2 linked regions of the Lepisosteus oculatus genome follow. The protein of the gene in region 2 interacts with the protein of the main gene of each other region in a pairwise test. Links are inferred from orthologs where the notes say so. Each region holds a gene or a part of one and is shown on either strand. Other genes may lie near its edges.

The links.
Region 1: the proteins of tpp2 (region 2) and ppp1r16a interact in binary tests that used the Homo sapiens proteins (3 or more experiments, as listed by UniProt). The two-hybrid records come from large-scale screens. The link is inferred for Lepisosteus oculatus from reciprocal best matches to the Homo sapiens genes TPP2 and PPP1R16A.

The regions. Positions count from the first base shown.
Region 1 is NC_090701.1:29,029,305-29,036,387, forward strand, and holds the start of ppp1r16a (protein phosphatase 1 regulatory subunit 16A), read left to right. Parts: upstream 1-4,064; 5' UTR 4,065-4,168; intron 4,169-7,083. UniProt on the Homo sapiens protein: Inhibits protein phosphatase 1 activity toward phosphorylase, myosin light chain and myosin substrates.
Region 2 is NC_090710.1:29,088,186-29,095,611, reverse strand, and holds the start of tpp2 (tripeptidyl-peptidase 2), read right to left. Parts: upstream 3,016-7,426; 5' UTR 2,895-3,015; coding exon 2,730-2,894; intron 1,363-2,729; coding exon 1,234-1,362; intron 837-1,233; coding exon 741-836; intron 243-740; coding exon 138-242; intron 1-137. UniProt on the Homo sapiens protein: Cytosolic tripeptidyl-peptidase that releases N-terminal tripeptides from polypeptides and is a component of the proteolytic cascade acting downstream of the 26S proteasome in the ubiquitin-proteasome pathway.

The DNA.
Region 1 (7,083 bases), on a different chromosome or scaffold from region 2:
TTTCACCCATAAAGGTAGTCGGCCTCTAACAATGGTCTAATTATGGAGCAAGGATGCTAGGCACCCTTAGGTCTGTGAGGAATACCTTCCAGTGGTCAACAGCAGAACTGATCTCAGGCAGTAACTCTCCTGGTGTCCCTCAAAGCTGCACAGAGCATTTCTGGGGTATTACATCTGAAGGAAAATGAGATGTTATAGTTGTCCGTGTCCTGAGGATAAACCTCTCACATCACTGAATCAATAGACAATATAAATTATTTTGTTTGTATCATGAATATGCAGCATTTTGCAACTTGAATTGATGTTTTTTTCATTTTAAATACAAATATACATAGAAACTTAATCTGATGGGAGCTTTCCTGGCACTGGTCTATACAATCTCTGAGGTGAAATGTACTTTCTCTAAAGATCAGACTGGAAAGGATCAGAATGGCCTGAAGCTTTGTTAATCTTTGATTCCCAGTTTGGTCACCAAGGGAGAGGAATAATGGTCGCTACACTGGCCCATCAGAGAATACAAATTAAAGGTAATGGGACCCACACCCATCCTTGGTCTTGTACAACGGCCAGTGGCTGTTTCTGATGTGAATAGTATATAGTCATCTACACAAAACTAGCACAGTGCAGGCTGACACCAAGAGCCACAGATGATCTAAGCTGCCACCCCAGAAGGGTGTTATAAACAGAACCTAAAATATACATAGGAGCTCTGCTGTGTCTGTGGGCTATACAGTACATTATACATGAGAGCTGTATAGAGGAGGTAAGCACAGCTCACGTCTTTTTAAATTAGGTACCAGTAAGAAGCGAACAGTTTATTTTCTCACAGAAGGACACAATAAAGTCATTAAACAACACGTAAATCTGCCGTGGTGCTAATTTACAAGGTTCAGCAGGCACTTAAAAAGCCCCTTCCTGATTTTGAGCAGTAGGACTTTGTTCTTCCTTTTCTAATCAGATTCCCTACGACTCCAGGAGCCACTGCACTGACCTGACAATAGCCAGGGATGCCAGGGGGAGAGAGCTCTCTGTTTGTTGCAGTCTGCAGGAGAGATCAATGATTCCACTCATGCCAGCACTATCTCCCTCACACACCGAGATTATCCTCAGCTGTGTAAAAGACACACTCAGCTGGAAACGCAACGCACAAAAAAAGTCATCAAGGAGGGTTTTCAAGCCTTGTCTTCCCTAGACAAAAGAGCAGTGTCTTTCACTTCCAGCTGTTGTGTTAATCTGCTTTTTAAATTATTTATTTTACTGTTATTTGCCCAGACGATATCAAGGCAACTTACAATACAAATGTGGGAATCTGGAATATGTTAGCCAGCCATGGTGTTGAAGGCAGTTCCCCTGGTTATGTTAAATGAGATGGGATCTTGAGGAGGTGGGTAAGATGAAATACAGTAGCTACTACCAAATGGACTAGATTGACCAAATGGCCTCTTCTTATATGAAACTCTTTTTGTACTATGTAGTGGTCAGATGGACATTATTTTTCAGTGACCTGTTTCTGGACTGAACAGTAAACTTTTCCCGTTTACAACCGTTTTTGTGCAATATATGCCAGGGACCTGTGCAATACATTTATAGTTATATTCATATTGTGCAATATGACTTTTTTGTGGACTGTTCTGTTCTTGTTTGTTCTTTGCATGTTCTGGACTGTGAGTAACTCTTCTTAGTGCACTTCTCACTGTACTGATTGTATTGTATTATTATTATTGTACCATGTTACACTGTTGCTGTGTTATCTGTGTTAAGCTGCTGTTGCACTGTAATTTCCCTCACGGGATCAATAAAGTATCTATCTTTAAGTAGTTCAAGTAGGTAGCCGTGTCAGCATGTGTAGGCTGCAAAGGAACAAGTAAAGGTTTATTTGTTGCTGAAAAGAGAAGAAAAGAAACACAGCACTTGGGCTGTTGAGCCTTCTTTGGGTGGCACTAATTTATGAAGCATAAAAGTCATAAAAGGTTCTGTATGCTACTCAAACAAGAACATCTACACTTTCATAGTGGTCTGTATGATAGAAAATTTCCACAAAACAAAAAGAGTCTCAGTGGTGTAAAGATTCACAACGAGCTTAAAATAATCATGGTGAGCCAACTGCTGTGTATGTTTAAAGAAAATAATAACGGGGAATGCTTGCTAATCTGTATTTTATTGCAGTATCACTTAACAGGGATTCTGAGCTAACTTTATTTGTCTGCAGTTTCTGTATTTTATTGCAAGGAAGAGAAGATGTATATATTTATCTTAGAACAAAGTATTTTTCCTGTAATGTCAAAACATGATGTGTGTTTTGTGTGTAACAAATGTTTGATCAAAGCAGCATGGGAGACTGTATGGAGCCGAGGGAGTGAGGCTGTAGGGTTAGTTTTTAGAGCTGATACCCTCTTTCTGGGGGAAATTCATTTTTAATGTGCTTGTTAATGCGTCCAAAGGAAACTAAAGAACTCAGTTTGTCTAGACTGTGGCAATGAAGTTTCACACAGGTTGCAAACAATTTGTGGGCAGGATCATTTCATATTTTTCTAGAAAAATGCCAGATCAGGTATCCTGCAGTCATCCTTGCAGTAATCTTTCTTATATAATGGACAATATATTTAGTCAGAAATTGTGTTTTCAGCCTCCTTCACTCAGCTCATCAAAACACGAAGAACTGCTTATGGACCATAGGCAGGCTGATTCCTGTACAGTGAGCTCCCCCTGTGGTCTGTAGTGTGCTCAGCTACTGCAGTAAGCATCCCGATTCCCTTAACTTGTATTATCATGTTAATGCTATAATACAAGTTTCCTGTAATTGTAGTTTAAACTGGTAATAAACCAACAAAATGTGGATCCCTATTGAACATTACATACTGGAGAGGGCTGGAAACAGAATATTAACAGTCTCATACAGACTTTTGTTTTCTGTCAATAGTAGACTGATTTTGTGTAGCTCCCAATTAGATGACACATGTCAGCCATTATATGACAGCAGCTGCAGATAAGGTAACATAACATAACATAACATAACATAACATCACTTTATTAGCCCTATACAATTTATTGCATTAAGAATTTTTCTTCGAATACCCCAGCTTACTCTCCATGAAGAGGAGGTAGAAGAGTGAAACTGAAGGAGGTCAAAGTGTGCAGGCACTAAGTGGAATTCAGTCAGGATATTGTTAACATCCCTAAACATATGAATACTGCAATAGGATCTTTACCAAATAGTAAGGGCTTCAGTTTAACGTCCCTTCCAGAGAAAGAACCTGCTTCAACCCTGTATCTCTGCTCACTATTCTGGGGAACGGGGGTGGAAATTTTGGTCCAGCCTTTTGACAGTTTAGGCCAGGGGTAGTTAACTTTGGCACCCTAGATTATCAGCCACTCCAGGATTTTACTCCATTTTATCTTTAATTTTCTGGTAAATTAATTAAGGATCAATTCCCCCCAGGCTCAAAATGCTGTAATGCCAAGAATTCCAGTTGTCAAGGTTGACTACCCGTGGTTTAGTAGGCAGTCACTCGTCATTATTCTTGATGTTACTCTTATTTCACAAATACCGAATACAAATACAGAAAAAGACATGCCGACGCCAAGGGCTTCTCCTTCATAACCGATTTACTGCGATCCTCACAGTACTTTGTAACGGTAAACTCTCCCTCTGCTCACTTAAACCGTTTGAATTTTTATATTTCTTCGTGTAAGCTTGCTCAGGGAGTTTCTTGTTGATTTACCAGTTGTCTGTGACCGCCTGAGTTTTGTTTTTATCCGTTTATGAGAAAATATTGATTTTTCACAAACTTCCAATTCCTACAGACGCATCTAAACTGTTTTTCTGGATTTTACGTTAGTTCGAATTGTAACCTCATTATCCGATGATTGCTGTACAAAATACTCTAAACTTTATTAATATTTGTTATATTTATTACTACTGTATATAATTATTTTCTATTTATCCATTCTGCGCCTTCGAAAAAACGTCCCATACCGCTGAGCTGTTCCCGGTCGCCGCTTGATGTCGTCAGGAAAAGGTCCGGAAACGAGAACGGTTGTTATGGAGAAGCATTTCCCCTGAGGGATAGAAAGAGAGAGAGAGGAACTGGAAAATAGAGCGAGAGAGCGAGGACGGGAAGCACGAATGGGAAAAGTGAGGAAGCTGTGACAGCGGCTCCTTCAACAGGTAGGTCGATCATCGTTTGATTTTGTTTCTTTCATGCCTTGTACTGTTTTCAATGGCTTATCGGAGCTACTTCGAATTCGGAGCAAAGCCAGGCGAAGCGGCGGCGTAGTTGCGGGAAGTTCAGCAGCAACACGATGTCAGTGGCAGGCAGCACCGCTCACCTCGCCGTGGCGGCTGAGTTCACGGGGCTGACTCCATAGCTGTTCTGTCTCTTTCTCCAAAAGGCTAGGTTGTGTCGGAATCGGGTAGGCGTTGCTTTGCACTCGTTTTCTGCAGGGGTGTGAAGAGTTGCCCTTTTCGTTTTCTTATGGGAGTTTCTCAAGCAGCGCAACAGGCGGCTCTGGGATCTTGATACTGGCCTGACGTGTCTAGCGTGTGTCAGGGTTGCTTTTAGTCTCTCACTTTTACTATTGTTGGAGAGATGCTGAGAGACGTGGTGGGTGCGAGTTCGCTTCATTTAACCTGTAGAGAGAGACAGGGAAAGCCTATTTCATGCTCTAACAGAACCGCGGTTTCTGTCCAGACTGAACAATTAAAATGGTGCTGTAATTAAGTCTCTGTCATCACAGTGACCTGACATTGTCTTCTTCTGTCCTACAAGAGAGAGCAGCGTGCTGTTTTTGTAAGTACTATCATTTTTTAAAACTTTTTACAACCCAGAGGCTCAGCCGTAGTAGCCTATTAAGGTCGGATTTCTATATGCTGAGGGAGCAGTGAGTGAACATCATATACAGTAATTAACCTGACGTGACTATGGTTTTAAAGACCGAAAGTTCAAATGATAAGGGTCAGGAAAAGTAAAGGTTACAATAACAGCGGTCTCAGATACAGTACTGTACGGTATTCCCTATCTCTAAACTGGTAGCACGGACACTTTATCAACTGTATAAGACTGTTCCTTAGCACGCTGACTGACAGAACTGATTGGATACTGGCAAATGCAGCACGCTGACTGAATGAATGGCTGGCACAGAGAGACTGCTGACTGAGGGACACTCTCCCTGACTGACGCATTGCTCGAGATACACCAGCAGCTCCCTCTCCTTACTCTCTTCACACTGCTGTGCTGGGCCTCCTGCCAGGGACAGCATCATCTTTGAGCACTCCTTCCAATTCAGCAATTTCATGCATTCTTGTAAAGTAATTGAGCTGCAATTTTATGCTACTTTACATTTATGACCTAACGCTGCTTTGTTCCGTGTTCTTTGAGTGTGTGTGTTCATGCGTGTTTCAGGGCCATTTTTGACTTCTGCTGTATGGCCGCAGTGAAATACAGTGGGAGTTTCCTGGTGCTGTTTAGTCAGCAATGGAACTTGCTTCTCATTTCCTAAAATTGGATCGAATTCTGTTTGTGCCGATTGAGACTGTCTCCAATATGCAAAAACTACTTCAGAAAGAGTGTCAAAATATGGGCTCGGATCCACAGAGATGGACACACGATTAGAAAATGGCAACGGCTGGCTGAAAGTCTGAGAAGAAGAAAGTAGTGGAGTTGGAAATGTCACGTTTCCCCTGCACACACAGATAGCCGAGTAAGACAGTGAACAAGAGGGGAAAACACATCGCTAGGATGCGTGTTGTACATTTAATTGTCTCCAAATGATGTGTCTGCATGAGATCCTGGGCTCGCTGAGCAAGCAAAGCCTTATAATGTAACAAAGGTCAGGGTGGCTGATTGCCTCCTAGACAGACCAACACTTGCAGGGACACCACCAGAGAGTACAATGGGGGGAAGGGCTCAACAGGTGAATTTTTACACTTTCAAAAATGGAAGATCAAAAAGGAGTCGGCATGTCCCAGCGCTTGTTGTTTGTCCCTGTGACAGTTTGGGTCCAGTTCAGTGAAGATGGTAGGAAATTTGTTTTTGGGAGAGTCAAGTTTTTACCAAAACCTTAAACCAGAGTGCCCTGTGATGAGCATAGATTGTGATGAGTTTAAAAGGCACATATATTTGGAAATTATTTTATATGCAGGATTATACTTGTCATGGATTCTAGAAACTTATAGAGTGTTCATTTGGAATCGGTGTGCAGGTGGAACAAATTTTGCAGTTCAGCAAAAAGTTTTGAGCATTGTTTTAACTGTTTCTCTGGGTTTCTCTGCAGCTTGCCGGCTGTGCAGGTTTTGTGCTGTCACTGAGGCTCTGAATGCCTCAGCTCACATGACCTGGATTAAAGTCCACCTGCCTCAGCCTGAGAGCTTTCCTGGCATTGTGACTTAATTGTGTGCAAAACTGTTAGAAAGCCAGAGGGGAAAAATGGTTTATACAAATATTAACCACAGGCTTAACCTACTTCACAGTGTTTCGGGTGAAGGGAAATCTTTTACCCAGTGCACACATGATGCAGATACAGTCTGTCACAATTTGTTTTAAAGCTCATATCAATTCCAGGTACCTTGTACAGTTTTAAAGCCATCATTTGTAATGGAAAAGTCTTTCAATGAGTTTTGTTGGCACAGCTGTATTGCCTGGTTTTCAATACACTGCTACAAGACGTTTGTTGAGGTTTGTAGGATCTGGGCCTAATGGATCTCCTCTCAGATCTCTCTTTCATGTTTCTGTGAATGCAGTTTTAAAGGAGCACCTGCTCATGCTGATTACCATATCACAAGGCCTGATACCAAAGGACTTACAGTAAAACTATAATTAGCAAGCGAACCAATAAGAATTGAGCTGATTTCAAAAGTGAACTGACACTCAGCTAAATAGATAAGCATATCTAGATGCCTATATCCCTGTCTCAGGTGATACATTTCAGTATAGCTCATTTCTTAAACTTTGCTGTTAAACAGCATTGTAGAAGCATGTACAGTACCTTTGTTCCGTGAAGCACAGAGTCAAATATTAAGAAAATCAGTAAGTCTTTTGAAAGGAAACAGGCAAAACTATGCAAAGATATATTCTAAACATACCT
Region 2 (7,426 bases):
ATGTACCAACAGAGCCACTCAAAGAGCTGGGCTCAGTCTGCTGTGCACTGATGGTGTGGTAGGTGTTCATCAGGATCAGCAGAGCCACTGACGGCCCTGTGTTCAGCGTGTGACTGTTCAGCAGTTGTCCAGCTGACCTGGGACAGAGTGGTGTGCGTGCTGTCAAACTCCTCCTGCTTCCGGCAGGCTTCAGCCAGCACAGCTCGATGGGACGGGTCCCACAGCTTCTCTTTGCGGTCCTTCTGCACAAAGAAAACACAAAGACAACCACAGGTACCTTAACACCTGCTCCCACAGTAGGGCACTGGGCACGAGGAACTAAAAATCGACCTTAATTAAAAAGCAAATCCAATACAGCTCATGCATCCTTGAATTGGAAACTGCTTTAATCTGTGTACCTGACCCTTTATCTATTACCTATCTGCTTAATGTATCTGTTTTTGACTTACTACCTTGTAAAAATAGCCAAAGGGCTCAAGAGTTAAATGATCCCATTACACTTTGCTAAAGTCAAACGAAGGCTGAAAAGAAAAAAACAAAATAAGCCTTGAGACAACATAGTGGGTAATTTGCACATTACATTGAGTGGGAGAAAATGGGATTGAACGGGACAACAAAACCAATATATAGTGTTCCCACTGTTTATTTACTTGTGCTTGAGAGGGCTGCAACAGCCACTGAGTTACCGAGTATCAATAAAAAATACTTAAGTCGAAAGTAGAACGTGCATGCACTGTTACCTGTACTCTCTCTTTCAGGGCTTTTGGAAAAAACTCGTATCCATTTTTGACACCGATGTGATACTTCCCCGATGGGTTTATCCATGTTGCAGGAATCTACAAGAGCAACAGACACGATGGCGTGAGACTGCACCTTTTGCATTAAAAACAGTATCAACACAAAAGGATTTCGAAAGGCATCGATTTTTCGGCTACTGAAGAACATTTCTGCGTGGTTCCGGGTAAAAGGGGAACCTCCCGTTCAAAGGTCAAGAAGTTCATGTAAACGAATGGACGTGAATCACAGCGGGCTGGAGTAAGCTCCTCAGGTCTGTTTGACCCTAAGAAGGCCCTGGACATTTCTCTCTACTCATCAGAGCGGCAGAAGAGCTAAAACACAGGCAACCACACAGAGCGCATGGCCACCTCCACTGAATGCAGCACAGCTGTCGCCATCAAGCTACAAAGGCAGGACAGGAAGAGAGCACAGACTCTGCTGACCGAGGGGCCTGACCTTCAACGTCCTCCCCGACAGGCCCACCACAATGCCGTCCTTCGGCTCCACCACCGTGGACATGTTCACATCCCCACTGCCCGTCGTGTCGATGATATCCACGATCTTCGGCTTCCCATCGGACGTCACCTAAAAAGAGAACGTTTTGACCGCGAGAGATGACCGAGAGCTCGAGGCGTGTGCAGCCGCTGGTCCTGGTGGGCGGCCGCACTCTGTCAATACCTGCTTGCAGAAATCAAGAAGACAACTACGAGGGAAGCCCTTTCAATCGAAGGGGTAGATACTTTATTGTCCACTGCTGTTGGGAATTTGTCTTTGGCTTCTCCCACGGAGAAGTACAAAAGAGCAAGCAATGTTTTTAGCCATTCTGGACAATTTTGCAAATGGCTAACTTCTAGTATAAAAGACTGGATTGATGTATTCATGTACAAATAAACACATCAATACATGGCAAGAGGTAAATAGGTCAGATTCAGTTATTGACGGCTTTCAACTTTTCTCGGAGCTCGGTGGATCACTGCAGTATCGCTGCCTAAAGCCCTTTCAGACACTGAAAAAATAGCCAGAACTAAATTTTATTTTTCTCCCTGTGTGCAAAAAATACAGATGGGGAGAAAAATGCACCCAAACTAGTGTCTAAAAGTGTCTAAAAAGTGTTCTGTGATGTAGACATATTTCAAAAGAAAACAGAATTGACATTATTGAAAAACTGAGCACTTCAGAATCAAGTTATATGAAATCCTGCTAACCTCACAACAGATTTGATTAAAATAAAAACAAATCAGAATAATGAATAAATTAAAATGGACCATGATCTTTTTTTTTTTTATTTGATGGGCAAAATAAATTCACTTACAATAAATGATAAATCAGTGCTAGGTTTGTTTATATTACACTGTCAGATTCATAATTAAAATATATCAGTATAACTACTCATATAAATGATGTCAGCTAAGTTGGGTTTTTTTTGTCGATTTTAGCTGCAATAATACACATTAAATTCCTACAACTGGATTTTTGTTTTAATGCCCAGCGTTTTCCATCTCATTTCATCACCTTGAGGATGTTGTTTTTTTTTTATCTCCACCAGCTCCGATAAAAGACAAATTTCATTCAAAAATATGAAACGGGACAACCCCTGCCCTGTTGCAGCTGGCACTGTTCAAAAACGTTTCAGCTAAAAGAAAACCCTGAAGGAAATTGCGATTGAAAATGGTAAGCAAAGCAAAGCAGAGCTGGGAACAGCTAGCGATGCAAAACAAACGTCAACAAACAAGTCTCGCTCAGGGTGCCCAGATACACAAGAGATGACTGGACACGGCAATGTGCCATTGTTAACCGACTTCACCGATGCAGGCCTGTGGAGAAGCGACCATGCATAAAGTCACTGTCCCACGCCGCACAGCCGGCTTCCTGCCGGGTAACTTCCATCAAGTGACTCCGGCGGCTGCCGACGTGCGGCCTGCACCTCCCCGCACTCCCCCTGCTGGTGTTACCTGCATACCCGGGGCCCCTGGGTCCACGCCGGTATCGAGGATGGCGATGAGGACGCCCCGACCATCGTACTCGGGGTACCGACAAAGGAAGGACGCGGCCCCGGTCTCTTTTTTGGGAAGCAGTCCGTGGAAAGGGAAGGGTTCTTCAGCACAATGAGCAGCCATGACCTGACAAAACGACGATGATAAACAATAACGAGCCGGAGCGGGGGATGAGAAACCGTATACACACACACTGCCTGAGCCGGAGACTGGGGGAACGCTTTTTAAAGAGACAGAGTCCACTTTTTCAGCCCGGTGCCGCGTTCAATGTTCAGGCGTTTTCCTTGGGCAGTTTACGATAACTCTTCTGTTTGTCCGTTTTTCTGGAAGTTACAGTCGATTTAATATCTGATTGCACAAACCAAATCATTAGGTAACGAATGTAATTACAAAAAGCACCCAATTACTGCAGCATCCTTTAAACTCACGGTTTTGGTTTTCTTTGAATAACAGTAAATATTAAATAAAAGATGCTATGCCCATGAGTGGTGGTGTATTCACAAGTGTAGACAAGCTGCCAGCTATGAAGGAGAGCAGTGAGGAGAATTCAGGGTCTTTATGGAAAAACTGTGCACCTATGCAATCTGCTTGAACTCAGTCCATTGGCAAACGAACAGCCTCAGCACACCATATTGTACAGCCAAACACACGGTTTCCACAAAGGCTGCAGGGTGTCCCGTGTGCCTTTGCTTCAAAATAATTTGAGTTGATGTTTTATGAAAATTTTGTTTTCGATTACCAGCATAGGAAGTAACAATCTATGCAAGATGGGCCGAACACATAATGAAGCAAAACAACGAATATGAAGCACAGCTTCTGTATAGAAAATACCCTCCTCCTCCAGAGAGGAGACTAGGAAGAAGCTGACGAAGTTGAAGTCTAGCTCCTGACCAGAAAGTCCAGAGTTCAGTCCCGGGTAGGGGGCAGGTGATGTAGCTTGCTCTAATTCCTTCCAGAGGGCTCCCAGGTCCACTCAGCCTGCTTTCCACTAGAGTACTGGGGGTTAATCCTTCTGGGGGTAACAGGCTGGCTGGCGCGTGGTGCTGACCTCATCACCTCCACCTCCAGTGTCAGATGGTTGAGGAATAATGGTGGCCCTTGCCCCCCCATTCCCCCTGGGCCTTAATGGCCTGAAAAGGGACCAACCATCCTGCCCATCTTTCTGTGTTGGGTCTTAATTGAAGAATTACAATCCCTAGCTATAGGCTAAGCCTGGCTTGTGTGAAACTGGAACCTTAATTCATGGCAATAATAAACTACTCACAACTTTGTTTTACAATCTGCACATCTCCATACAGATAAACTGGAAGTGCCCCAGTCTTAAGAATCACTCCAGCTGACAAGACAAGATACTCTTTAGAGAGAAGAATTAGTTCAGGTTAGCCCGTCTCCAGTGAGGTGTTTCATGTACAACAAGATATGTCTTACACTACAGGCAGTGGTGTGGAGTATAGGTCACGGCTTTTACCCCCAAATCAGAGGGCTACAGGTTCAAATCCTAAATGGGTTGCGATTGTCGCACCCTTGAGTGAAGGGTCATGCTCAGATTGGTCCAAAAAATGCAGAAACGAGTCTCAAGGATGTTGCTGTAAATGAGAATTTATTCTCAATTGACTTGTTTTGTAACCTAAATTAAAAAATGTAAGTACACCAATCATAATTCATTTATCTCTTGTCTCCATGCAATTGACTACCTTCCTTAGTACTGTTGGTCTTGTCCCTCATGCTGTCCGAAGTGCCCTGTTCATTTTCATCTGTGTGTGACTGAACATAACAGTTGGGGAGAAAAATATATTTGTTTCAAAATACTTCCAAAGAGTTACAGTTTATGAATGCAAAGAGAAACATTTGGTCCTCAGTGGTCTTTTTTTTTATTAAAAGAAAGTATGTTTCTCTGTGTTGTAAAGTAGTTCGTTTAGCTTTTTCTGAAGAGCCAGACTTTAAGAAAGTGGTGATTAATTGTCTGCCAACTCCCTTCATTTCCAAAGGAATTTTCACTCAGTTCAGCAGTTTTGCTCAAAAGACACCCTGAGACCAGGGATTAGGGATTGTCAGCACTGGGTATGAGTTTAGAGAGAAAGAGTGTCTTTATTACCCCAGGGGAAGCAAGTTGTTTTACAGCAGCAGTGTTGGTGTACAGACAAACAGAACAAAAAGACAGGAACAACAATATACATACATATTTACATTGAAGGTCAAGAGTTACGTAAGGATATGGCTACAGGTATGAATCTGTTGGTTTTGGAGCTGGAGAGTCGGTATCTGTGTTCTGATGGGAGTAACTGTAAATTATTAAACAAGGGGTGTGAATGATCATTGCAGATGGATTTTGCTTTGTGTAAAACACGTGAATGATAGATGGAGGAGATGGCTGGAAGATCAGCACCAAGGACCTTCTGACATATTTTCACAAGGCTGCCCAGTTTGTTCTTGCTTCTCAGATTCAGGTTACCAAACCAGCAGATCAGGGTAAAAGTTAGCACAGATTCAAGGCAGGGCCAGTAGAACAAAACCAACAAAGAATCATTGACCTTAAAATACTTAAGCTTCTCTGTCTGATATGTTACAAATGAGAGGAGCCCCTTTGGCACATCCCTCCTGTTTTGGTAGTTAACCAGTTATTTCTGGATATAACCTCTAGCTGTTTCTTGGAAGGAGCCAATGTCTCAGCTTCAAGAAGATGGCCGAGCGGTTTGTTCCATACTCCCGCAACCCTTTGGGTAAAGAGACACCTCCTGTTTGCAGTTTTAAAGGCACTTCACTATATACATACAGACTTCTTCTTGAACTTCCACACGTCAGTTTTGTAAGAAACCGTAAGCATTCATACCATAAATCAGTTTTGAATGTTTTCTAAATAGGTGCATTAGACATAATGCATGTCTAGACAAGCATAGGACTGATTCTTACTGACAAGTGAAATTGTGCTAGATGGAAACTTCTATACCTCCTACTGTTTTTTGATAAATCTACACTAATTATAGTTGCAATGTTAATATTCAGTGTTTCAGGTGCACTTCCTGGTGCTCTCTGGGTAATTATCTAATTTGTTTTCATGATTCAACACGAAAACAAATGAGAAAAAAATGGAAGAATGAAAGACTGTTTTGGTTCAGTCTTGACCTCTGGATTTACTACACTCTATAAACTTTCATTTCTGTTTGTTCTCAGTCCTTGTAATCTCATCCAATCTTGTTCAAAATGCTAAAGATTAGTAATCAAAGTGGATCGGTAACTTTCAGAAACTAATTGCATGTTAATGTTGTAACTGGAGGCTAGTTAATTAGGGTTGTGCTACAAGGAAGTTTGAGATGCATCACTTGAGAGCTGCAATTTTTTATGTCGTAAAACCAAACTCAGCTTCACAAGTGCACAGGACCGTGCAGTCATAAATGTGTGAAGCAGTCATGAGGGAAATTTTACAATTACATTTATATTTACCTTTTATTTCTTGCATCATAACTTGGTCAGTGGTATCTAAAAACATGTCAGACGCAGTTCTGACTGAAATTGTTCCAACTAAACTAATGAAGAATTTAAATAACAATCGTAGCAATCTGGGGAAGGCTTCTGTCCTGGAAACTGGAGGGTATCAAAGGAGCAAAAGGTACTGTATTCTTACACTGAAAGAAGGGATTTTCTGTTACTGTGCTGAAACACACTAGCACTGCTAATCTAAATCTCTTTAGATGTAGATCTAGACTGGGAGGGTTGAGTTGTCTGTCATTATGCTTGGGGACTAAGTCACACCACTTTATGAAATCCATTTGGCGATACCTGTGTTGTTTAAAAGTCTGTCTCATAAAGTACAGGGTAACTATATAGGATTGGCCACATTTGTGGTTTCAGAGGTTGCTGTTACCACAGGCAAACACCAGAGCATATTAAACCAAAAAATTCATCATGTCTTCACTCTCCCACATGCTAAGCCCTCACTAAAAATGGTTTCTGGTGCTGCCACTATACATGGATTACGTCTGCTTTATTGTAAATGAAAATGATCGATTTGAGTTTATACACATGGACACACTGACCTGCCTGAAGTGCTTCCTTACCCTGTAACTTCTCTAGGTAAACTGCTTTGTAGTGGGTAAGCAATTAATTACAATTCCTCATGGTCCTAGAATTTTGCTATTATTCTAGGTGGACAGGGGGTGTTAAGAAATGGCATGTTCGTTATTTGAGATGTCTAAGGTCTCATGCTATTACTCTACATTAAACTTCACGACCAGTGTCCCCCCTTGCATTCTCAGCTGTTGACACTAGGTGGCAGCTTACTACTATTTAAATGATCTGTCAAACCTGCGCTTTTGTCGGAAAACATGTTCCGTTTGTTTTCTGAAGTAATGTCTCTGCCAAGTTAGACAATCTCTTTCTTTTCTTCACAGGAAAAAGAAACAATACAGAATCTTACCCACACAGACTGGGCCTGAAAATAAAACAAGGAAACAAAGCATAACTGTAATAGGCCTAACTCTATTGTAAATGCTGCATTAAGCCCCTGACAACAACTGTTAACATGAGGTTACCCCTTATGAGCTGTATGTGCAAACCAGGAGTGATCAGCATTTTAATGTAAATCAGTACCATGTGACCTCAGACATCCTAAATAACATTGCTGGCACTCAAAGTCTAAATGAACATGCATTTCTTAA